Linked DNA regions of Arabidopsis thaliana. The protein of the gene in region 4 interacts with the protein of the main gene of each other region in a pairwise test. Each region holds a gene or a part of one and is shown on either strand. Other genes may lie near its edges.

Region 1 (5,781 bases), 1.5 Mb from region 4:
AGCAAAGGCTGTTCAAAACTACAAACTAATGGGCTGATAAAGCCTTATACGGCCCAAAACATTATTAATTCACTTACCGAAAATGCCCTTATCACATATCACGAAGATACGAACACGAAGAATGCGTAGTAGTCGCCTGTTACTGGAATTATTTTCAATTTCTGAAATCAAATCCGATTGAGAGAAAACACTAACTTCAAATTCGAGATCTGAATTAGGGATTCTAGAGGATGACGAAGGATTTTCCAATTCCACCGGTTGTTTTCCCCACCAGTGGATCATCTCCGGCCACCGCAAATGTTCAGCAACGCCGAGTTCCCACAGCTCCTTACCAACCACCACGTCAATCCTCCGCTTCATCTTCAATCCCTTTCATTCCATTTGAAATCGGATCCGCCGCCGTTTCAATGCCGGCGGGACCATTCGACGGAACAATCGCTTCATCTGCATCTTTCGGTAGAGGAGTCTCTGCTTCGTTTGAGGATGAGGAGCCTTTACTCGACGAACTCGGTATCCATCCAGATCAAATCTGGAAGAAAACTAGATCGATTCTCAATCCTTTTCGAATCAATCAGACTGTTCACAAAGATTCAGATCTCTCTGGTCCGATCTTCTTATACCTTGCGCTTTGCTTATTTCAATTGCTCGCTGGGAAGATACAGTTTGGTGTTATACTTGGTTGGGTTGTTGTTTCTTCTATCTTCTTGTACATTGTCTTCAATATGCTTGCTGGTAGAAATGGGAATCTTAATCTTCATACTTGTACGAGTTTAGTTGGTTACTCTCTGCTTCCCGTTGTGATTTTGTCCGCGGTGTCCTTGTTTGTGCCACAAGGTGCTGGTCCCGTTCGGTTTGTGCTCGGTGCGGCTTTCGTGTTGTGGGCTACTAGAGCTTGTTCTAATCTGGTGGTGTCTCTTGCTGATGGAGGAGAAGAGCACCGTGGATTGATTTCGTACGCCTGTTTCTTAATCTATACTCTGTTTTCGCTTCTCGTTATCTTTTGATTCCTTGCTTTCGAATATTGATAGATTGTTGAACTTTCCGGTGCCATTACTGAGTAGCTTAATGTGATATCTTATAAGTGTTTGTGGTGAAATAGCTGAGACATTGTAAAGGTTTTTGATAACTTTAGAGGAAGTTGTTATTGATGTGGTTTAAGTAATTGAAGATGATGTTCTAAGATCTCTTACTATTGGAAATCTCGAAACGTTTATGCCATATACATCCTTTTGTGGTTCTGTTTGACAGTTTCTTGACATGAACTGTTCTTTGAATTAGATTTGGTGAGAGTATCAATTGCTCATTTTTAGCGTACATGTGTTGCAGTTGTAGTGTAGATTTTCCGAACGTAGAAGCGAGTCACTAAGATGTTTTGATTAAAGATCTTAGGTTGCTTCAACTACCAATGATAAATAAGTGACTGGGGAGAAGTGTGAATGGTTTAGCTTGAAATTGTTCTATAAGCGAGAAAGTAGTTGATCAGAAGATACACATGACGAGCTTTGGCCTGGCAATGGCATTGCATAAGATAGCGAAACTATCATACTTCGATTGTCTCAATCACAATTGATGCGTTCGAAACAAATCTAAACGCAAACAAACAATCTGAATTATAGAATTGTGGCTTGTTTACGTTCATCATCATTCATGGTTCCATGGACTTCACTGTTCTACATGAGCAAGCAAAAGACTCATAAAATTGTGCAAATTTTTCGTATGCTTATTATCCGGCTAAAGCCCAGAATTCGTTGTATGGGCTTTAAGACCAACATTATAGGCCCATTTATATTAAACATTTAATTTTCTTCATCACTCTCGTCGGCTAACGCTTTGTCTCTTTCACCAACTTATTTAACAGATGAATTTAGTAGCTGTAGTTGTTACTGAAACAGATAAAAATTAGGAGCAAAATCAAAATCATAATCCACTTTTATGTGATCGAGAAAGAGATTCTAAGCCCAGAAAACACCAAAACCTTCCATTTTCATTGGTTCCCATTTTTTTTTCTTTGTAGCTCGAATTCTCTGCTGCCACTACTCGTAAGGTACTCTTCGTCTTTTACATGTTAATGTACTTCTGCTACAATCTCTAAAACTGCTCCCTCTGGAAATTCTGTACTCAATCGTCGAAATGTCTTAGCTTTTTGTATTCGTCTACTGTTTTACAAATTTCTGGAATTCCCCATCTTCAATTTCGTTACTTTAGAACAGTACGATGTGCCAATTGTAGTTTTCTGATTCAAATTGATACTCCTCGGAAATTTATTAATTAAAGCATTGACTTTTCTTTGTAGTATCTTAGCTTCTAGTGTTGAACTTGATCCATATGCTGCTGATATGCAACTGGTTTCCAATTATAGTACTGTAGAATGTGAGTGCCACTTTTTTTTTTTTTTAATCTTCTTCTTGGTTCAGGACTTGACGTTGACCTCTTGTTCTTTCTCTTGAAGCAGTGAAATTGGAGTTTTTAATAGATCTTTGGTTGCTTCTGTAGTCTCAGAATGGCAGCTTATGTTTCTCCCTGTTTAACTCCTCCGGATTCTCGGGTACTCACTGTTCTTAGAAAGAGTGTGTTACCTGATCATCATCTAGGCACGAGGGTTGGTTGCTTAAGAATGAGTGAAGGTACTACTAAAAGATATCGTGTTGTTGCTTCTCATAAGTACGAGTCTTCGTCAATCAGAAACTCTTTGAATTCTCATAGTACAAGCCATTTCCAAAGCCAAGACTCTTTCTTGAATCTCCACCCTGAGATATCCATGCTCAACCCAAGAAAAGAAACTTCCAGTGTTCCCATTACTGAGGATTTGGATGAGTTATCTACTCCAAACACTTACAATGAGGCTAGGATTAAAGTTATCGGCGTTGGAGGTGGTGGTTCAAACGCTGTGAATCGTATGATTGAGAGTGAGATGATTGGTGTGGAGTTTTGGATTGTGAATACCGATATCCAAGCAATGAGAATATCTCCGGTTTTTCCAGACAATAGGTTACAAATTGGTAAGGAGTTGACTAGGGGTTTAGGTGCTGGAGGTAATCCAGAGATTGGGATGAATGCTGCTACAGAAAGCAAAGAAGCTATTCAAGAAGCACTTTATGGTTCAGATATGGTCTTTGTCACAGTATGTCTATAACTATTACTTTCACTTTTTCTTAGTAACAAACTTTTATTTATACTTATTTCTATATAAAGATATAGATTACAAATGAGAAGTTTTACGGGTCAGAATCGCCGTTTGCAATATCATGTTGGTTTTATTGAATTTTGGTGGGTTGCAGTTTCTCTTTGTGTTTACCAGTTTCTCTTTTATCTCCATCTGGTTAAAGCAGTGAGGTTTATGTCTTCGATCATAGAATACTTTCCTGTTTAAAGTACAACCAGTTATGGGTTATTGTGTGAATTTGCTGCCTCCATAGATTGACTGTAAGATTAGATCTTTAAGTTCAGTGCCTAAGCTTTTCTAGCCAAATGTCTTGTTATTTTTCTAGGCTGGAATGGGTGGTGGAACTGGCACAGGTGGTGCTCCTATAATTGCAGGGGTTGCAAAAGCGATGGGTATATTAACGGTTGGTATTGTGACAACGCCTTTCTCATTTGAGGGACGGAGAAGAGCACTCCAGGCTCAGGAAGGGATTGCAGCCCTCAGAGATAATGTTGACACCCTCATTGTTATTCCAAACGACAAGTTACTAGCAGCAGTCTCTCAGTCTACTCCAGTTACAGAAGCATTTAATCTGGCAGATGATATACTTCGTCAAGGTGTCCGTGGAATATCTGATATTATTACGGTATGGCTTTGAAAGTATTTATTCTCTAAGCTATGACATCCATGTTTATAGAAAATGTCTGACTGCAATATCGTTGTGTTTGCATTGCAGATTCCTGGATTGGTCAATGTGGATTTTGCTGATGTGAGGGCGATAATGGCAAATGCAGGTTCTTCATTGATGGGAATAGGAACTGCAACAGGTAAGAGTAGAGTGTTCTTTGGAATTGAACTATTTTATTGATAGGCTCTATCTGCTGCATCATTACGTATGTCGAAGGGGAATATTGGTTTAGAAGGCAGGTTAAAGAACCCTGTGACCAATATAGGCGACGCTTTATGCATATGTTTGTTAGCTAAAATGCTAAGTTTTCAATTTACTGAGAATTGGTACTACAGATGTAGCTGAGTAGATTAATTTGACTATAGATTTAGTACTCTTTAACCATGACAAAGGAATAATGTTTGGTCCACTGCAAGTTGGTATATTGAGGAAAATCCTAAACTTGAACTATTTTGGTGCTATGTTTTGGCTGCATCATCATGCTTAATCTTTCAAGCTATACTGTTATTTGAGCAGGAAAGACCCGAGCAAGAGATGCTGCATTAAACGCAATCCAATCCCCTTTATTAGATATTGGCATTGAGAGAGCCACTGGAATAGTTTGGAACATAACCGGTGGAAGTGACTTAACACTGTTCGAGGTTTTTTTTCCCTCTCTACGCTTTCAGACCATTTCCTGTCCTAGAAATCACTTGGTTTCTTCCCTAGACAATTCATAAAAGAACTTCAGTCCCATGTCATATATAACGTTGTGTGTCTCTATTTTGACTCTCGGGAAACGATTTGTAGGTAAATGCTGCTGCAGAAGTGATTTACGACCTCGTTGATCCAACAGCGAATCTTATATTTGGTGCTGTGGTAGATCCATCTTATAGTGGTCAAGTAAGTATTCTTCTTTCTTGGATTTTCTTCTAACATATAACCTATGAGATACCCAAATTGCTTAAACTTTTTTTCTTCCTGTCAGATAAGTATTACCCTGATAGCAACTGGCTTCAAACGCCAAGAAGAAGGAGAAGGGAGGCCACTTCAGGTATTCACTTGTCTCCCTTGACACACACACACAACATAGCCGATTCTTACATCAAATGTTAAAAGTCTTCGGTTGTAATCTCTCTTATTGCTACATGAAAATACAGGCGACACAAGCGGATGCATCAATGGGAGCCACAAGACGTCCTTCATCATCATTCACTGAAGGCAGCTCCATAGAGATCCCAGAGTTCTTAAAGAAGAAAGGGCGCTCTCGCTATCCTCGCCTCTAGACCCACTTTGATCACTCTACATGATATTGTTGAATGTAAGGAGAAAGAATGTTTGGTGCGGCTATGTAAATTGCCTCTATGGTGATATTCTATAATAGGTTGTTAGAAATTATTTTACTATATTACAAAAATAATGTTACTTGACAGATGATAAATCTTAGTCTCTGTCACTCTGTTTCCAGATTTTGCCTTTGGATAAATGGATAGAAAAACAACATCTAAGACAAATATATCCTATGATGAGACATTGTAAATGGTTTTGGTTATTTAAATCAAACATACGGGTGCACAAATTATTATTTTTACCACAAATTACACATAAATTTCGAAAGAAAGAAAGAAAAAAGGTATAATTAAACGATATTATTGCACATCGTGCAAATAAATTAGTCTCGATGATATTGTTACTAAAAAAACATTAAGGACTTGTGTTGAAAATTCAAAGCTGCTAGCAATCTCGAGGAGGAGGTGGTCTTGGAATGGGTTTGCAAGGCTTTTTATAGTTATGTCCCGGCGTATCTTCACCTCCTCCCTTTGGAGAATCTCCACATGGTGGGGAGGGTCTTACGCATATCTCAGGTTTACCTTTGTAGTTGCACACACATTAAAAAAAAAATTTAGAAGATTAACTTGTTGGTTGTAAATGGATGTAACATGTAAGAAAATACGAACTAATCAGTTTGTAA
Region 2 (5,531 bases), on a different chromosome or scaffold from region 4:
TAACAAATGAAATGAAACGACGTTTTTGTTTTCTATTGGGTAAGAATTAAATTTCTAGTAAATCTGTTATAAAATTTACATACATAGAGTGTAATAAACAAAAATAAGGGAGCAGTTTGGACAAAGAGTTTGCAGTGAGTCTGATAAAACGACACAACCTGATTCAAGTCTAACCATGCAACTAAATTGAAGACCTAGAAAAATTAATGTTAATTGAGTTTCAACTAACCATTTCAAATTTGTGTTAAGCTAATTTATTTATCTTAATCAACTAACGTAATTTGTTTTTAAACTGCTATTTGCTAAATTCATTATGTAGGAGTAGCCGAGTAGGACCCTGAATGGTACGCTCAAAAGAGGTAGCAGCGTCATCGAACTTAACGTTAGGACACCCTATGATTGATCGTATCAAATGACCAAAATTAAAAAGATGATTGAGTAAACCAATTAATTTTGGTATATAAACAATCTTTTTATTATCGTACACATTTTTGGGATGTGATGTGACTAATGAAAGGTTTAAATATATTTAAACATGATAAACGCAGAAACCACCATATAGAGGAGAAACTAGAAAAATATAATTTGTCAGTCATGTGTCTAAATCCACACCTACTTTTTTCTCATGCTTTTTTTCTTCCTGCAAATATTGCATTTCCTTTGCCTCTCTCACACATTTCCTCTGTCACTTTCTTTTTTATATATTTTTATTTCGGAATTCCATTACCGTGAAAAAGCTTTGTTTACAACAGTAATTTTGTTTCAAATGCTTTCTTGTTGTCTATTTTTATCAATTACTATGCCTCTGCTTGAATAACTTAAAAACACAAGTGATGTTAATTGTGTTATTGTAGATCCTATGAACAAATTTAATTTATAGACGTGTGAAGTTATAAATGAAAGATATCATTGAGTGAGTGATCACCGTTGCAGATAATGTTTAAAGAAAAAAAAAAGGAACAGTTCCTTGTTCATGTCATCATGTGTTGAAAACGGAAGGAGGGAAAGAAAAATCTATCACTCTCAGATTCAGAGCCTCACGTGGGGTAAACTTAGAATTCTATTTTTAGGTACGAATCAAAATATACGACCCGTCGCTTTTAACATGTCATTTATTATACCTTTCACTCTCATTTCCTCCATGCTTTTTTTTTAAAACGTAATTAGACCTATTCATTCTCCATAATATAATACATAAATACAACTTATAAGATTAATAGCCTCGTACACTAACATTAAAGAGTAAATAACCGTTTGTATTTTCCATCTTTTGATTAATGATAACTATAATTTATGAAGAACATCCATAAACTCATGAGTTTTATTTTGAACGCAACATCCATATTTAGCTTTACATTCATTTTTTTAATAAGATTTCAGTCATAGTTCGAAAAATGAATGTTGGGTTGGTTCCGATGGTAAAGCGAGCCGTATCAACAAAAAAGGCCCAAATAAAAAGTGGTATACTGTTGGGCCTAAAGATGAATATACAGAAGCCCATATTAAGACAATTCGGCCCATTCAGCATTGCGTAGCAATCGAATTGATATTTAGCAAATCGAGGAAAGCAATTGACTAACTAGATAATACTGATAAGTGGGTCCCACATAATTCTGACAGCTTAGAGATGGAGAAGATCATCACCGTTAGTCCAAGTTGGGTCAATAAGGCTTACGCCGTTGGATATCAAGATATCCGTTAGATCGCATACACGTGGATACTGTTCAATACTCCTGACCGCAGGGGATAAGACACGTGTTATATTAACGAAGAGTAAGAATGGTTTCTAATAATTTCTTCGCTCCCTTTCTTCTTCTTCTCTCCTTCTTTGAATTTTGATTTTGGTTGAATGGAGATATCAGAGAGAGTTCGAGCTCGATTAGCTGTTCTCTCAGGTCATTTATCGGAAGGAAAACAGGATTCTCCAGCGATCGAGCGATGGTGCACGTCGGCGGATACGAGTGTCGCACCGCTTGGATCTTTGAAGGGAACACTGACGATCGTCGACGAACGCACCGGAAAAAATTATAAAGTTCCGGTCTCAGATGATGGTACCGTTAAAGCCGTTGATTTCAAAAAGGTTTAACCCTTTTTCTAAATGACCATTTTCCTATCACTGTGGGATTTTGAGCTGAGAATTTGCTTTGTTGCGTGTTGTTTGGCTTGCAGATAGTGACGGGGAAGGAAGACAAGGGGCTTAAGTTATACGATCCAGGTTACTTGAACACGGCTCCTGTTCGATCTTCGATTTCTTACATCGATGGAGATGAAGGGATCCTTCGTTACCGTGGCTACCCAATTGAGGAAATGGCTGAGAACAGTACTTTTCTGGAGGTGGCTTATCTTCTCAGTAAGTGTTTTACCTTTTAACCTTACTACACAATTTCAAGTGTTATGTGTATCGAATTGGACATTGATGAAAAGTTTTCTCCTTTACTATATTTTCTGGCAGTGTATGGGAATCTGCCCTCTGAAAGTCAGCTATCTGATTGGGAGTTTGCAGTTTCTCAGCATTCAGCTGTGCCACAAGGTGTATTAGTGAGTCTCTAATCCTTGGTTGATGGATTTCAATTTCGATTTGTAAAATGGAGTTAGCCTGTTCTTTACTAGTAGCCTATTTTCTTGTCTGGTCGAACAATAATTTGTCAAGACTGTTCTATACATGTTGTTCTGAGGATTGTGTGCTGTACTCAAAGCTATATATTTCTCATATCTAACTCCACTTACTTGATAACTTTTGTGCAGGATATTATACAGTCTATGCCTCATGATGCACACCCAATGGGAGTTCTTGTGAGTGCAATGAGTGCGCTTTCCATCTTTCATCCTGATGCTAATCCTGCTCTTAGGGTAGGTTTAACCTTATATTACTTCTCTAACAACATGTCAGGCCTTGTCACTCGCTAGTTTTAGCTCTTTTGAAATTGTCCGTATAAACATGTTGACTGATACTCTATTGGGTGCAGGGCCAGGATATTTACGATTCAAAACAAGTTAGAGATAAACAAATTATCCGCATTATTGGAAAGGTATTTTTTTGTTATCAGTGGTTACCTTACTTCTTCCTATATTGTGTCACGCATAAACATATTTGGACTCTGAATTTCATGAAGATCTGATGCAACTAAACGTGTTTGCGATTTGTGCAGGCACCAACAATTGCAGCAGCTGCTTATCTGAGGATGGCAGGAAGGCCTCCTGTTCTTCCTTCAGGAAACCTTCCTTATGCAGATAATTTCCTCTATATGCTTGATTCCCTGTATGTCTCTGCTATCTCTTTCTTCTTGAATTAGTTAGAAACTCAACTTTTAGATTTAGTTTTAGATCTTGACGCTTCAGAGAACTTGAAGCCTAGTTATTTTTTTACTGTGTACATAACTTGTAGCGTGCCATTAACACACTTCTTACAGGGGAAATAGATCCTACAAACCTAATCCTCGGCTGGCTCGGGTGTTGGACATCCTCTTCATACTGCATGCAGAGCATGAAATGAACTGCTCCACCGCTGCTGCTCGGCATCTTGCCTCTAGGTACTTATCTTTGGTTGGAATCTTAGTGACCTTGATAGGAGATATATTGATTAGGAAATGTCTTCTTGTAGCGGTGTTGATGTCTACACTGCTGTTGCTGGAGCTGTGGGAGCGCTTTATGGTCCACTTCATGGTGGTGCAAACGAGGTATGCTATTTATTCTCATGTCTTCATATGTTACATCTTCTGATGTATTTTCATGCTCCATGGTCTTTGAAATTCATGTCTTTGGTTCCATTAGGCTGTGCTTAAGATGTTGTCAGAGATTGGGACTGTTGAAAATATTCCAGAGTTCATTGAGGGTGTGAAGAACAGGTAAAATCAATTCTTGAAACTATATGCTTCCGTTTCCGAGGTTTGTGACAAGTCTTTTCATTAAAATTCTCATCCCTTTGACATCTTAGGAAGAGGAAGATGTCTGGTTTTGGACACCGTGTGTACAAAAACTATGACCCTCGAGCTAAAGTCATCAAGAACCTGGCTGATGAAGTATTTTCCATTGTTGGAAAGGATCCTCTAATTGAGGTACGCTATGTCCACGAAGTTCAAGCTTATACTACAACTTGATGCCCACCTTTTCGATTTAGTGTAATTTTTCATGTTTCCTTAAAGCCAATGTGTTTGATTCTGATGTCTGCAGGTTGCTGTTGCACTTGAGAAGGCAGCTCTCTCTGACGATTACTTTGTTAAGAGAAAGCTGTATCCAAATGTTGACTTCTACTCTGGATTAATATACAGGTAAAAGTTTGAATGCATGTGCAGTATCCATAACTTCCTCTCAACTTCATCTAAATCTGCAAACTTGGACCATTACAACAGGGCAATGGGATTTCCACCGGAGTTCTTCACGGTCTTATTCGCGATTCCTCGCATGGCTGGATACTTGTCACATTGGAAAGAGTCACTGGATGATCCTGACACCAAGATCATGAGACCACAACAGGTATAGTTAATCTCTTTCCAAGAATAATAAGAGAAAGATTTTTCTTTGGATCAATTTGAAACTTGGATGGTTCATTGGAATATTAAATGTTGCAGGTGTACACAGGCGTGTGGCTGAGGCATTACACACCAGTGAGAGAGAGAATAGTGACGGATGACTCGAAAGAGTCAGACAAATTGGGTCAAGTCGCGACTTCAAATGCATCAAGAAGACGTTTGGCTGGATCTTCAGTTTAGACGTAGGCCCTTTTAGGGTCCATACTATACATCAAACCACACCGCAAAGAATAAAAGAGATTGGTTTCTCTAGCCTAAAGCTAAGATACTTGATCATACTCGAAACTTAGATTTCTCATTTTGTAGGCACAATATAGACTTGATCTATATTTGCTTCAATCCATCTTCTAAGGGTGTTTGTCCGCCTTGTTTGTCTTCTTATCAGAACGTGTTTATTGTATAAAATGATTTATGGTTATGGATTATTACTCTAATTTCTATATCGAATGCTTCTGCAGAGACGTTTGTTGTGAAATATCTCGGCCAAAGCAACAAGTAGAAAACAAAGCACTTTATTAAATCATTGTAAAAACTTTTGAAGATCTATTGTTACAAACTAGGATATCATCAAGCCAGAGTTTCAAAACTCGGAGTTCTTGAAACTTGAAGTAGCCATGTAAATGATACACTCGAAGAAAAAATGATCTGTAAAAAAGCTATATAAGTTACATTACATGTTTTTGTCTGGTGGCTGCATTTTTTGAAGTTGAAGGAGCAGTCCCAGGAAGGCCGTTGATCCTCCTTGGAGGTAGCTTTTGTCCACCAGAAGGAACGCTTCTTGAAGTTGAAGGCGCATTAGCGGATAAGCCAGTCCTCTTTGGAGCAGATATACTATACAAGACATGATCCGTCAAACCGATCAAGTTTGGGGGATAAAGAAGTGGATCCATATAGATATATAGATACTGAGGACATGTTACCTGAAACTCTTCTGAATCGTGTTCTTTTTAGTTTCAGTAAGATTTCGTCCACCATAAGGAATGCTTCTTGAAGTTGAAGGCG
Region 3 (5,009 bases), on a different chromosome or scaffold from region 4:
GCCAGATTCGATTGCTTGTTCAGCTTTGATGAGAGCTTTCAACAAGGGAGGTCAACCGTCAAATGTCTTTGTCCTGATGGATTTAATGCGGGAAAAAGAAATCCCCTTCACTGGTGCGGTCTTCTTTGAGATATTTTCGGCTTGTAACACGTAAGTTCTTGTATGTCTATTTAAAACATTACAGTAAAATACTTGCTCGAATTACAGAAAGAGCAATATATCACCCTTCTTCTTTCAACATTGCAGCTTGCAGGAATGGAAAAGAGCAATAGACCTCATCCAAATGATGGATCCGTACCTGCCATCGCTTTCTATCGGGTTAACTAATCAGATGCTGCATCTTTTCGGGAAGAGTGGTAAAGTTGAAGCAATGATGAAGGTACAACGAACTTTTAGTTGATCAGCTAATTAGACTTCCACATTATCTTTCTTTTCTGCCAACCTGTTTACAAAAGAATGTTAACGAAACCATGTTGTACCACTAAACACACGCAGCTGTTCTATAAGATTATTGCCTCTGGTGTTGGAATCAACCTCAAGACTTATGCAATACTGTTGGAACATCTTTTAGCTGTTGGAAACTGGAGAAAATACATTGAGGTAATACTTTTTTGTTTGTCTCTTGCCAAATGAATTTCAATTAGCAATGACCAAGCAAGTTTTGCGGTTGAGAAATAAAATTTGACTTTTGTGTGAATGATTTGCAGGTTTTAGAATGGATGAGTGGTGCTGGTATTCAACCCTCGAACCAAATGTATCGTGACATAATCTCCTTTGGTGAAAGAAGTGCAGGGATCGAGTTCGAGCCTCTAATACGCCAAAAATTGGGTGAGATGAGAGAGGAATGCAAAATAAATGATTCTGTCACATGATTTTCGATCTTTTTGGTGTCTCACATTTCATTTTTTGTTGGTTATTCCATAGAATCACTGAGAAACAAAGGAGAAGGTCTGATTCCAACTTTTAGACACGAAGGCACATTGTTGTAATTTCCACTATATGCTTGTATTTTTGGCCCAGTGATTATGCATATGATGTTTGTAACTTGTAATCTCCTCTATCGATAATATGATAATTCAATTCAGAAAACGAAATCATTTTAGTATTGAAAATAAACGTAGATTGTTGGCTAGAGTTACATATTGAATTGCTATAGGATCCAGCTTGTATGTGCAGATAATAGATAAACTGATACAAGACATTCAATTCAACCAATCATTTCAAAAAGTTTGAATTATGATTTTTAAATGGAATGATTCGATGTGTAAGTCATTACAACGGTAGCAATATGAAGAATCAAATGGTAGGAAAGAAAATCCGAATTTAAAATATTCCGAAAATTATTAAGCTTAGTTTGATAAACAAAACAACAACATCGTGAGTGTACCATAGGAAGAATATTCCTTGGAACGAGGCGAGAGTTGGGAAACACTTCACATTAAAATGTCAGAATCCAGAAACAGATCACGTACACGTGGACATAATTAGTACACGTCAGCATATAAACCTATTCTACTAATGACGAAAGCACCCTCGTCTCCGTACATAGCCGTTGCAGTTATTATCTTTCGCTTCGTTGAAAAAGGAAAAACAAAATTGGGACGTAATGGTAAATTAAGTCCGTAATTTTATTTTGCCGTTGTTTAGATTACTAGAAAAGACTCAAAAATCAAAATCATTGTATTCGGTGAAAAAGGAAAGAGTCAAAGTTGAATTTTCTCAGCTCTCACTCTCTTTTTCTCTCTCTTTACTTCTACTGTATCAAGAAGCTCCGTTTTGCTTAGCCATAGTGCGTCTAGGGTTTGGTTGGTGGGAAGAAGGTTCCGATCATGGCGTCGGTGTCGTCGTCGGATCAAGGACCTAAGACAGAAGCAGGATGTAGCGGCGGAGGAGGAGGAGAGAGCTCGGAGACAGTGGCGGCGAGTGATCAGATGTTGTTGTATAGAGGTTTTAAGAAGGCGAAGAAGGAGAGAGGTTGTACAGCTAAGGAGCGTATTAGTAAAATGCCTCCGTGCACTGCTGGGAAAAGGAGTTCCATATACCGGGGAGTCACCAGGTACTGTGACTTTTCAAATCGGGATTGTCGGTTTATGATGCGGAGGAGATTGGAGTATAGGTTTGGTTGTGAATTGGGAGTTGTGTTATCTGTATTAGAGTATGGAATGTTTGGATTGGTGGATATGCACTTTGGTTAGGGATCTTGTGTGGAGCTAAATTATCTGGAATCTGTAAACTGTTCTAAAACACACTAATTTTCACCTAATGTCAGATTTTATAGTGTCTAGGCTCAAACTAGAAGAAATGAGTAGGTGTGCTTAGCATCTGTATGAGGTTTTTGTTCCATAGCAGTTGGAGATGTTGATGCGTTTTGTTTGTCGTATTTGTGTTGAGTACAGACATAGATGGACAGGTCGTTATGAAGCTCACCTTTGGGATAAGAGTACCTGGAACCAAAACCAGAACAAGAAGGGAAAACAAGGTTCCTCTTCTTCTTTTTTTTTTCTCTCTGCATCTGATAAAATTGCTGTTGTCATTTGCAATAAGTTTTCTCTTGTTTGGAGTATCAAAGCTGATCTTTTCTGTTTCCTATATATTTTCATGGGTGACGGAATTTCGCCACACCAGTTTATCTAGGTAAGCTAAAAGCTTTATATGTGTTGATTATATTCTTGTATATCAAATTGGATAATTTTTCACTGAAGAACCCAACTCTTACTTGACAGGAGCATATGATGATGAAGAGGCTGCTGCTAGAGCTTACGACCTTGCTGCCTTAAAATATTGGGGTCCTGGGACACTTATAAATTTTCCGGTGAGATTGCTACCGTAGTATGCTTTCTAAGTTACTCTTCAACCGTGTGGTTTCCTTAATAATTTTCATGGTCAATATATATGCATAAGTGGAGTAAGGATGGTTAGAAGTGTTTTGGAGCCACCCTTCTCAAGTTTCACTGTTTTTAGCTACATGCATTTACGTATTTCATTCTCGTAGGTGACTGATTATACCAGGGATTTAGAAGAAATGCAAAATCTCTCAAGGGAAGAATACCTTGCATCTTTACGTAGGTGCGTATGTATTTAAAAGCACTATAGTTTTCTTTTAAGAACCATTTATTGCTGATACTCTTTAGATATCCCTTTGGCAGAAAAAGCAGCGGTTTCTCTAGGGGAATAGCGAAATATCGTGGACTTCAAAGGTAAAACTGGACCAGCAATTGAGTTCTCATTTCTCTGTTTTGTCTGAAAAACTATGGAATCAAGAGTGATCATCTTTGTGTAATTGCCTATAAGGAAGATTCTTTAGTGACACATTGTGGATCATCACGGTTTTGATTAATTGACATATGGTGGATATGCTACTAGTTAATTTCATAGAAAAGTCTATATGCTACTCTTAAGAATAGGGATATGGCAAAACTATCTTCACTGTTTTGGCTGTAGCCCTCTTTAGTTTTGTCTTTTTAACCTTCTTTCTCACAATTAACATTCATACCTGATATGCATTTCTGCTGTCTTTCCATCTATTCTGCACTTCCCGACCAGCCGATGGGACGCATCAGCCAGTCGTATGCCTGGACCTGAATACTTCAGTAACATTCATTACGGTGAGTTGCTAACAATATTGACCTAATTGAAACAAATGTTTGCTTGCATCAGACTATTCAAAACTCATTGTCATTATTAACAGGGGCAGGTGATGATCGTGGAACAGAAGGTGACTTTCTAGGTAGCTTTTGTCTGGAAAGAAAGATTGATCTAACAGGATACATAAAGTGGTGGGGAGCCAACAAGAACCGTCAACCAGAATCTTCATCAAAAGCATCAGAGGATGCAAACGTCGAAGATGCTGGTACTGAGCTTAAAACACTGGAACACACATCCCATGCAACAGAACCATACAAGGCGCCAAACCTTGGCGTCCTTTGTGGAACTCAGAGAAAAGAAAAAGAAATATCATCACCATCAAGCTCTTCTGCTTTAAGCATCTTGTCTCAGTCGCCTGCCTTCAAGAGCCTAGAGGAGAAAGTGTTGAAGATCCAAGAAAGCTGCAATAATGAAAACGATGAGAATGCAAACCGTAACATCATCAATATGGAGAAGAATAACGGCAAGGCAATAGAGAAACCAGTTGTGAGTCATGGAGTTGCTTTAGGCGGTGCTGCTGCTTTGTCTCTTCAGAAAAGCATGTACCCACTTACCTCTCTCTTAACGGCTCCATTGCTCACCAACTACAATACATTGGATCCTCTTGCAGACCCTATTCTCTGGACACCATTTCTTCCTTCAGGATCCTCTCTTACTTCAGAGGTTCGTAGTCATATATCTATAGAACCAGAGACTTCAGAGGTTACTACAACACATCTTCCTTATGTCATTTTCTTTGGCTCTCTTTCTTCTGCAGGTGACAAAGACAGAGACCAGCTGTTCCACGTACAGCTACCTCCCACAAGAGAAATGAGCCGTTCCCTTTAGACTTTATGTATGTCAGATTCTCCTTTTTTGAGATGAATTCGTCGACTTGACATCTCTTTGTCTCTTTTATGGAGAAAAAGTTGGGAAAAGTGTGACAATGGTCTGAAGCAGGAATGTACAGGTTTTGTTAGTGGTTGTGTTTTTTTTTTTCCAGTGTGGAATATAGAATCATGATATTTTGTGTAAAACAGAAAAAAGTTATCATTATAGTATAGAAGTTTGCTCTTAATATTTCTGCACAAGGTATAATATAATTTGATTGTGACCGATCTAATTATTCATCTCTACCAAATGTTACGACTATGTATTATCACATCATCTGCACAAGACTTATCTAGCTTTGATACAACTAACTGAATCCTATTACCCAGACAGGGACTGAGTATATAATAGTTCCAATCGCAAAAGAAACCACAATGGTAAAAGATGCATACGCATAGGCTCTCCATGGGTAATCACTTTCTCTCATCGCATTGAACTCAGCCATGAAGGTCGAAACTGTGCTCAGACATCCCAACAGACCAAACTGTATGCTC
Region 4 (5,870 bases):
GGAACAAAATCTTGTTTTGGTTAAGAATGAACAAATGAATAAAGGAATGAAAGAATCCAACGTCAAAAATTAATAACACAAATCACATGATAGTACAAGCATGAGCATTATCATCGCTAAAAAGATGAAGAGCATTTTCATCGATATTAGGTTGAACTTTTTGGGATGAACTAGGATAATAACCATTGATAGTAGAGTTGTTTGTATTTTGAAAGTCGTCAACGTCATAGAAATCATACTTTCCACTATATGAGATTGTCTGATATATCTTCTGATCCGATTGTTCCAAATGTTGAGAAGGATATGTATAGTAATCACCATAATATCCATTGTAAGGAAATGGCCAATATTCCGCTGTTCGTCCCGTTCGTTTCACCATCTTTAGAACCTCTTCTCGATCAACGTATCCCGTGACTGTCACTTTTTGTCGATCCACGTCTATCTCTACCGTGTCCACTCCTACACATATTTATTATTATACTGTTAATCAAGATTTGCCTTAAGACCAAACATATATTTATGAAAGCTAAATGATACGACTAAAATCGATGTTTGATTTTGTTTTTCTGAATTTTTCTTACCATCGAGTTTAGAAATGGCTCTTCGAACCTTCTTTTCACATCCTTTACAATCCATGTCTACCAAAAGCTCCACAATCTTAAACAACAGAAGAAAATATACATTAGAAAATGAACAAAACGTTTGATGATAACCATCAATAAAAAGAACAACGAACAAAGACATAGATGGCAACGTACAGATAAAGCGATTGGTAATCGAGAGTTTCCATGTATCCAATCAAACATTCTCTTAATTATCTTGTCGATCGAGAATTTACGTTTTGTCTTAAGATCTTTTTGCTTTCAATATAATATTTTGGTTGTATGTGTATGAGATATATTTATATAGGTGGAATGGAAATGACTGCGCGTATTAGGAACACTTGGTGTGTGATTCCAAGAAACCGCGTTTGCGTCTTGTGAGATGCAAAAAGCTTATGTCCTAAGTCTTACATTATATATCTTGTGTCTTGGTGTCGCCAGAGTTTTAATTATTGTGTCTTATTACTAGAGTAAGGGTTTACCAAAATAATATATGAATTTTAGCGTATTTCAAAGAATTAAGAGATTAGCTTAAAATTATATTAATTAAAAATGATGTAGAAGCATATACAGAAACTTGTCTCAATCGTTTTAACGTTTTTTCTGTCCGTAGAGTTAAGAAATTTGACGAGATTCAACATAAATAAATGTATTATTGATTTTATTTTATTTTTAATAAAGTTTCGTTGGATATTGAAAACTATAAGACCGACCAATCTAAATTTTATTAGTTTTGATTTCCAGGCAATTAATCCGAACCGAAGTGGCATACGCATATTCAAAAGTCAAGATCTCCTGCCTACCAAATAGTGGATATATACAAAAATTACAGACACATATTAGCTTATTAATGTATATATGTTGATAGAATGCATGCAAGTCGTGTGAATAGCCAAAATGTGAATATATAGCATTTCCAAGTAGAGAAAATGAAATCCAAATCATTTGAATTTGTGAGGTTTCGAAATCTACTAAATACGTAAACGAAATAACTCGCTTTACCACCAATAAAAACAAAATCAAAAGGGCAATACAACACATTATGATGCAACTTGATCACTTGTGTACTCTATAAGTTACATTTCGCAGAAAAAAAGATTGAGAAACCTTTTTAATTTGTGTTACGTAAATTACCGAGAAGAAGCACATAAGCAAAAACCATATCTTGAAAGAAAGATTTTGGTTCTTTCTTAGTTTTGTGACTTAAAATAACACAGAGATTAATGATTAGGAACGTCAAGGATGACTAAACCGGTCCGGTCCGGCTCTAAACTTAATTCATCCTTGATTTGATGATTAATGATTTATTTAAAAGTTTATGTCCGGTTAAGGCCCGGTCCAGGAATAAGATCAAATGGGGATAAAATAGTCTTTTACTACTCACCCAACCTGCCGGAATATTGAGACACATCATCGTTCAAAATCAAAACCCCTAAACTCAAATTCTCTCTCCGTTTTTCCGGTGAAAATCAGTCGCCGTTCTCCGGCCACAGTCTACACTAACCGTGTCATTTCGAGTCTCATCAAACCTTTGAGCAGATAAGTAACTGCTACGAATTTGCACACCGAAGTCACTGTTTCAATCTGAATTGCATCTTTAAAAAAGGGACAATGGCATCTTTTCCTCATCCCGGTTCCGTCACCGTCTGCGAGATCAACAGAGACTTGAGTATGTTAAAGCTTTTCCCTTCCATTGAAAAATGTAGGGATTTCGAAACTTCTGAGCTAATGGTTAGATTTTCGTAGCGCAGTTACGGCTCAGAACTTATCTGATGAGCGAGCTCAGGAGACTTATGGAAAAGTTCTTGTACGTGGGCGTTTCTCTTTCGTTTCTGATTTCTTATAAGCTTAAAAACCATATTTGTAAGTAGCAAATGTTTTCTTTTTGACAAATTTCCATCGGATTTGGGGGTTTTGCGTTTGATCACAGGGAATGGTGTTTAGCCCTGTTTCGTTCGACTCTACTCCTAGCTCTCTTCAGGAAAATGAAGGACAAGAGAATGGAGATAAGGCAAGTGGTGAGAGTAAAGGACTGGTTGCAACACTGCAGATGAAGGTTGCAGACTCTCTTAAACAGATTTTACAACCCACCGATGTAAGAGTTTCAACTATCAGTCTGTTTCTTTGTTTGGTTGACTAAAGAAAGCTTAGCATTTTGTGATTGATGGTTACAATACTTATCTTTATGTATCTAGGGGAATTGATAGGAGGGATGTTCTTTGCAATTTCAAAATGGCATTATCATAGCTGTTATTAATAAAGCCACAGCCTTGCTCACCTTTTCTTTTCTAGGTAACTCTACTCTCAGAGATTGATCTTCAAGGAGTGAGTTGGCATCAAGGGAAGCATATTATTGCCTTTATATCCGGTGCAAATCAAGTTACAATTCGTGATTATGAGGACAAAGGTTTGTTTTATTTATTCAATTCAGGATTCCTAGTTCACATTTGCCGGTGTGTGCATACAGTTTCATATTCTTCTTTTGAACAGATGAGAAAGAACCTTGCATTTTGACAAGTGATTCACAAAGAAATGTTAAAGCCCTTGAGTGGAGACCAAATGGTGGAAAATCCCTATCCATTGCCTGTCGGTGTGTATTATTGGTCTTCTGATCCTGTCTACTTTCTAGAGTAGCCAGTTTCATAGATAACTAAGTTTGATTCTACTGTAATAACTGTTCCATTGAAACAGGGGAGGAATATGCATATGGGCTGCTTCATATCCGGGTAACATGGCATTGGTTAGATCTGGTGGTTCCGCATTGAGGGGAAGTCTCTCTCGAGGATCTGGAACTCGTTGGATTTTGGTGGACTTTCTTCGGTGTCAAAATGATGAGCAAATTAGTGCTCTCTCATGGAGCCCCTGTGGAAGATATCCTAAACAAAATTTCTGCTATAACTGTTTTGCTTAACTTCATTTTGGAGTTGTTACTTAACTACATACGTTTCCATGATCATTTCAATTACCATAGTTGTTTATCAAGCCGCATCGCATGATAGGCATTTGTTGGGAAAGTATTTGGATTTGTTCGATCTTTTCTGTCTTTGCATCACATGGATCCCTAACTTTGTCCATCCTGTTACTCCTTGACCTATTTTCACGTATTTAGCATCAGCCTCATATGACAGTTCATCTTTCACCATATGGGATGTTTCTCAAGGTAACTAGAACGACAATTAAGAACACTTTCTTAATGCACAACATCATGCAAATGTTTGAACATTAATCCAGCTTCCTCTTATTTAACATCCTATCTGTTGCGTTGAGATGAGAAAATGCATCTTGCAATTCCTTGTTTCTGAAAGTGATATGTATACATCTTCCAGGGGCAGGGACACCTATTAGACGGGGACTAGGTGGAATATCAATGCTTAAATGGTCACCTACAGGAGACTACTTCTTTGCAGCAAGATTGTAGGACATCAACTCTCTTTCTTTTTTACAGATGTGGAAAGTAGCTTCCTGTTTGATATGATTGCTAATAAAATGTTTTTCTGTCACAGTGATGGGACTTTTTGTCTTTGGGAAACAAACACATGGACATCTGAACCCTGGTCTTTGTCTAGTGGATCTGGATCTGTCACGGTAAGATCGTGAGCCTATAATAGTGAGATATGCAATAGAGTATTGTTAAAAGCGTTTTGTTGGAGAGGTTAACGTCACTAGTGTGGTATGCATAGCTTATGTACATGACTCCATTGTACTAAAGCATTCATTTCCTTCTTTTATGTATGAAATTGCAACTGTGTTCCATCTTCGTAAATGGACCAAGCAATAATACTATACTCCCTTCTATGATAGGGAGCGATATGGGATCCCGAAGGACGGTTTATCTTGATTTCGTTTTCGAAATCTTCAACACTGGGCTCTGTTCATTTCTCATCCAAGCCACCATCCTTGGGTATGCAGAAACTTTGAAGTCGTTTTGCCTATACTACTAGAAATACTTACCAGTTAGCACACTAAATCTCTGTTTTGGTTTACTTTCAGATGCCCATCTATTACCAGTTGAATTGCCAGAGATTGCTTCTCTAACTGGCTGGTAAATTATTTGATTGTTTTGTTCAATAAACCCTTGCAAAGGCCTTCCGTTAATCACTTCTTGATATTGTCTTTCATAACTGAAATAACCAGTGAGGGCATCGAGAAGATAGCATGGGATGCATCTGGAGAACGATTGGCTGTGTCGTACAAAGGAGGCGATGAAAATTACAAAGGATTGATTGCCATCTACGACACACGAAGGACACCTATTGTATCAGCATCACTAGTGTAAGTAACTCTTACTGTTATCCATTCCATCGGACTTGACCTCCTTTTGTATATCTTTGCATTGTCTAAATGGATAGACAAAATCTGATGCTTTTATGATTACAGCGGTTTCATCAGAGGACCTGGAGAAAACCCGAAAGCTCTCTCCTTTTCATTCCATGACAAGTTCAAGCAAGGTCCACTCCTTTCTGTGGTAAGGCATATGCTTGATTAAGTCTCTTTTCATGCCAAAGTATTCATACAGGTAGAATCGGTTAGTTAATTAATCTTCCAAATAAACCTTGTTGCAGTGTTGGAGCACCGGATTCTGTTGCACCTATCCTCTCATCTTCCGCTCACATGTTCTTCCTTAATAGCCAAATGGTTCAAATTTAATGCAAGTTTCAAACTTTTTGGTTCTATTTTGTAGACTGCTCACTCTTTGTATACAAATGGTTTCTTTAAAGAACTCAGCTTTGAAGTTAAATCCAAAAACAATGGTTGCATTTGAAGTACATTAATGGTCTTTGAACACCAAAAAGAACATTACAAAAAACGAATACGAAAAGCAGCAAACAGTTGAGTCACTTAGACATTCTTGTTTTTCTTCATCTTGGAAGGTGGCCATCGACCCTTCTTCCTCATCTTACGCTTACGAACCAGACGTTTCCTGCGTAGCCTAATCTTTTTGGCCAGCTTCATCTTCAGCCTCAATTCCAAGAGCAGTTTCTCTTTAGCTTCTTTCGATTCCAACGGTAGTTTATCCACTGGAACAGCAGCAACAACAGTCTTTGGTTCCTCCTTGCTCTCAGGCTCAGCCCCGTCCACGCCAGAAGCAGCCGCCTTCACCACAATTCTTCCATGGCTAGAGTTCAAGCTGTAAGCACTGAGAGAGACTCTGTTCTTGGACTCGACAGCGTTGGGTTTAAGGCTCAAAACTGAAACACAAAAGATTAGAGCATTACAAGTAAACCAAGTGTTCGATTAAATGCTTCGATCTTTAAGCTTAAAACCTGA

Evidence for each region.
Region 1: the proteins of AT3G56900 (region 4) and FTSZ2-2 interact in a two-hybrid assay, tested with the Arabidopsis thaliana proteins (one large-scale study listed by BioGRID).
Region 2: the proteins of AT3G56900 (region 4) and CSY3 interact in a two-hybrid assay, tested with the Arabidopsis thaliana proteins (one large-scale study listed by BioGRID).
Region 3: the proteins of AT3G56900 (region 4) and AT2G41710 interact in binary tests that used the Arabidopsis thaliana proteins (3 or more experiments, as listed by UniProt).

What each region holds. Positions count from the first base shown.
Region 1 is NC_003074.8:19,549,155-19,554,935, reverse strand, and holds FTSZ2-2 (Tubulin/FtsZ family protein), read left to right. Parts: upstream 1-1,834; 5' UTR 1,835-2,044; intron 2,045-2,063; exon of another isoform or gene 2,064-2,370; intron 2,371-2,452; 5' UTR 2,453-2,500; coding exon 2,501-3,121; intron 3,122-3,488; coding exon 3,489-3,788; intron 3,789-3,878; coding exon 3,879-3,969; coding exon of another isoform or gene 3,970-4,010; exon of another isoform or gene 4,011-4,305; intron 4,306-4,346; coding exon 4,347-4,471; intron 4,472-4,619; coding exon 4,620-4,712; intron 4,713-4,797; coding exon 4,798-4,863; intron 4,864-4,969; coding exon 4,970-5,095; 3' UTR 5,096-5,275; downstream 5,276-5,781. Other genes in the region: AT3G52760 (Integral membrane Yip1 family protein), read left to right, coding at 231-1,004. UniProt on the Arabidopsis thaliana protein: Exhibits GTPase activity. Component of the plastid division machinery that forms a contractile ring at the division site.
Region 2 is NC_003071.7:17,802,310-17,807,840, reverse strand, and holds CSY3 (citrate synthase 3), read left to right. Parts: upstream 1-1,767; 5' UTR 1,768-1,849; coding exon 1,850-2,080; intron 2,081-2,169; coding exon 2,170-2,350; intron 2,351-2,452; coding exon 2,453-2,538; intron 2,539-2,745; coding exon 2,746-2,850; intron 2,851-2,966; coding exon 2,967-3,029; intron 3,030-3,149; coding exon 3,150-3,259; exon of another isoform or gene 3,260-3,410; coding exon 3,411-3,530; intron 3,531-3,601; coding exon 3,602-3,677; intron 3,678-3,771; coding exon 3,772-3,845; intron 3,846-3,934; coding exon 3,935-4,055; intron 4,056-4,170; coding exon 4,171-4,268; intron 4,269-4,349; coding exon 4,350-4,473; intron 4,474-4,568; coding exon 4,569-4,709; 3' UTR 4,710-5,000; downstream 5,001-5,531. Other genes in the region: AT2G42780 (transcription elongation factor B polypeptide), read right to left, coding at 5,195-5,360, 5,450-5,531. UniProt on the Arabidopsis thaliana protein: Peroxisomal citrate synthase required for the fatty acid respiration in seedlings, citrate being exported from peroxisomes into mitochondria during respiration of triacylglycerol (TAG).
Region 3 is NC_003071.7:17,399,724-17,404,732, reverse strand, and holds AT2G41710 (Integrase-type DNA-binding superfamily protein), read left to right. Parts: upstream 1-1,682; 5' UTR 1,683-1,829; coding exon 1,830-2,056; exon of another isoform or gene 2,057-2,116; coding exon of another isoform or gene 2,117-2,190; exon of another isoform or gene 2,191-2,278; coding exon of another isoform or gene 2,279-2,309; exon of another isoform or gene 2,310-2,369; intron 2,370-2,396; coding exon 2,397-2,479; intron 2,480-2,625; coding exon 2,626-2,634; intron 2,635-2,723; coding exon 2,724-2,812; intron 2,813-2,992; coding exon 2,993-3,066; intron 3,067-3,131; coding exon of another isoform or gene 3,132-3,146; coding exon 3,147-3,197; exon of another isoform or gene 3,198-3,543; coding exon 3,544-3,605; intron 3,606-3,688; coding exon 3,689-4,473; downstream 4,474-5,009. Other genes in the region: EMB2654 (Tetratricopeptide repeat (TPR)-like superfamily protein), read left to right, coding at 1-150, 247-379, 496-600, 708-828, 925-989; AT2G41705 (camphor resistance CrcB family protein), read right to left, coding at 4,823-5,009.
Region 4 is NC_003074.8:21,064,117-21,069,986, forward strand, and holds AT3G56900 (Transducin/WD40 repeat-like superfamily protein), read left to right. Parts: upstream 1-2,005; 5' UTR 2,006-2,213; coding exon 2,214-2,271; intron 2,272-2,353; coding exon 2,354-2,409; intron 2,410-2,532; coding exon 2,533-2,697; intron 2,698-2,894; coding exon 2,895-3,009; intron 3,010-3,092; coding exon 3,093-3,192; intron 3,193-3,293; coding exon 3,294-3,473; intron 3,474-3,703; coding exon 3,704-3,762; intron 3,763-3,928; coding exon 3,929-4,016; intron 4,017-4,105; coding exon 4,106-4,187; intron 4,188-4,403; coding exon 4,404-4,503; intron 4,504-4,592; coding exon 4,593-4,644; intron 4,645-4,736; coding exon 4,737-4,874; intron 4,875-4,979; coding exon 4,980-5,067; intron 5,068-5,164; coding exon 5,165-5,227; 3' UTR 5,228-5,367; downstream 5,368-5,870. Other genes in the region: AT3G56891 (Heavy metal transport/detoxification superfamily protein), read right to left, coding at 83-459, 582-657, 759-806; PSRP5 (plastid-specific 50S ribosomal protein 5), read right to left, coding at 5,442-5,791.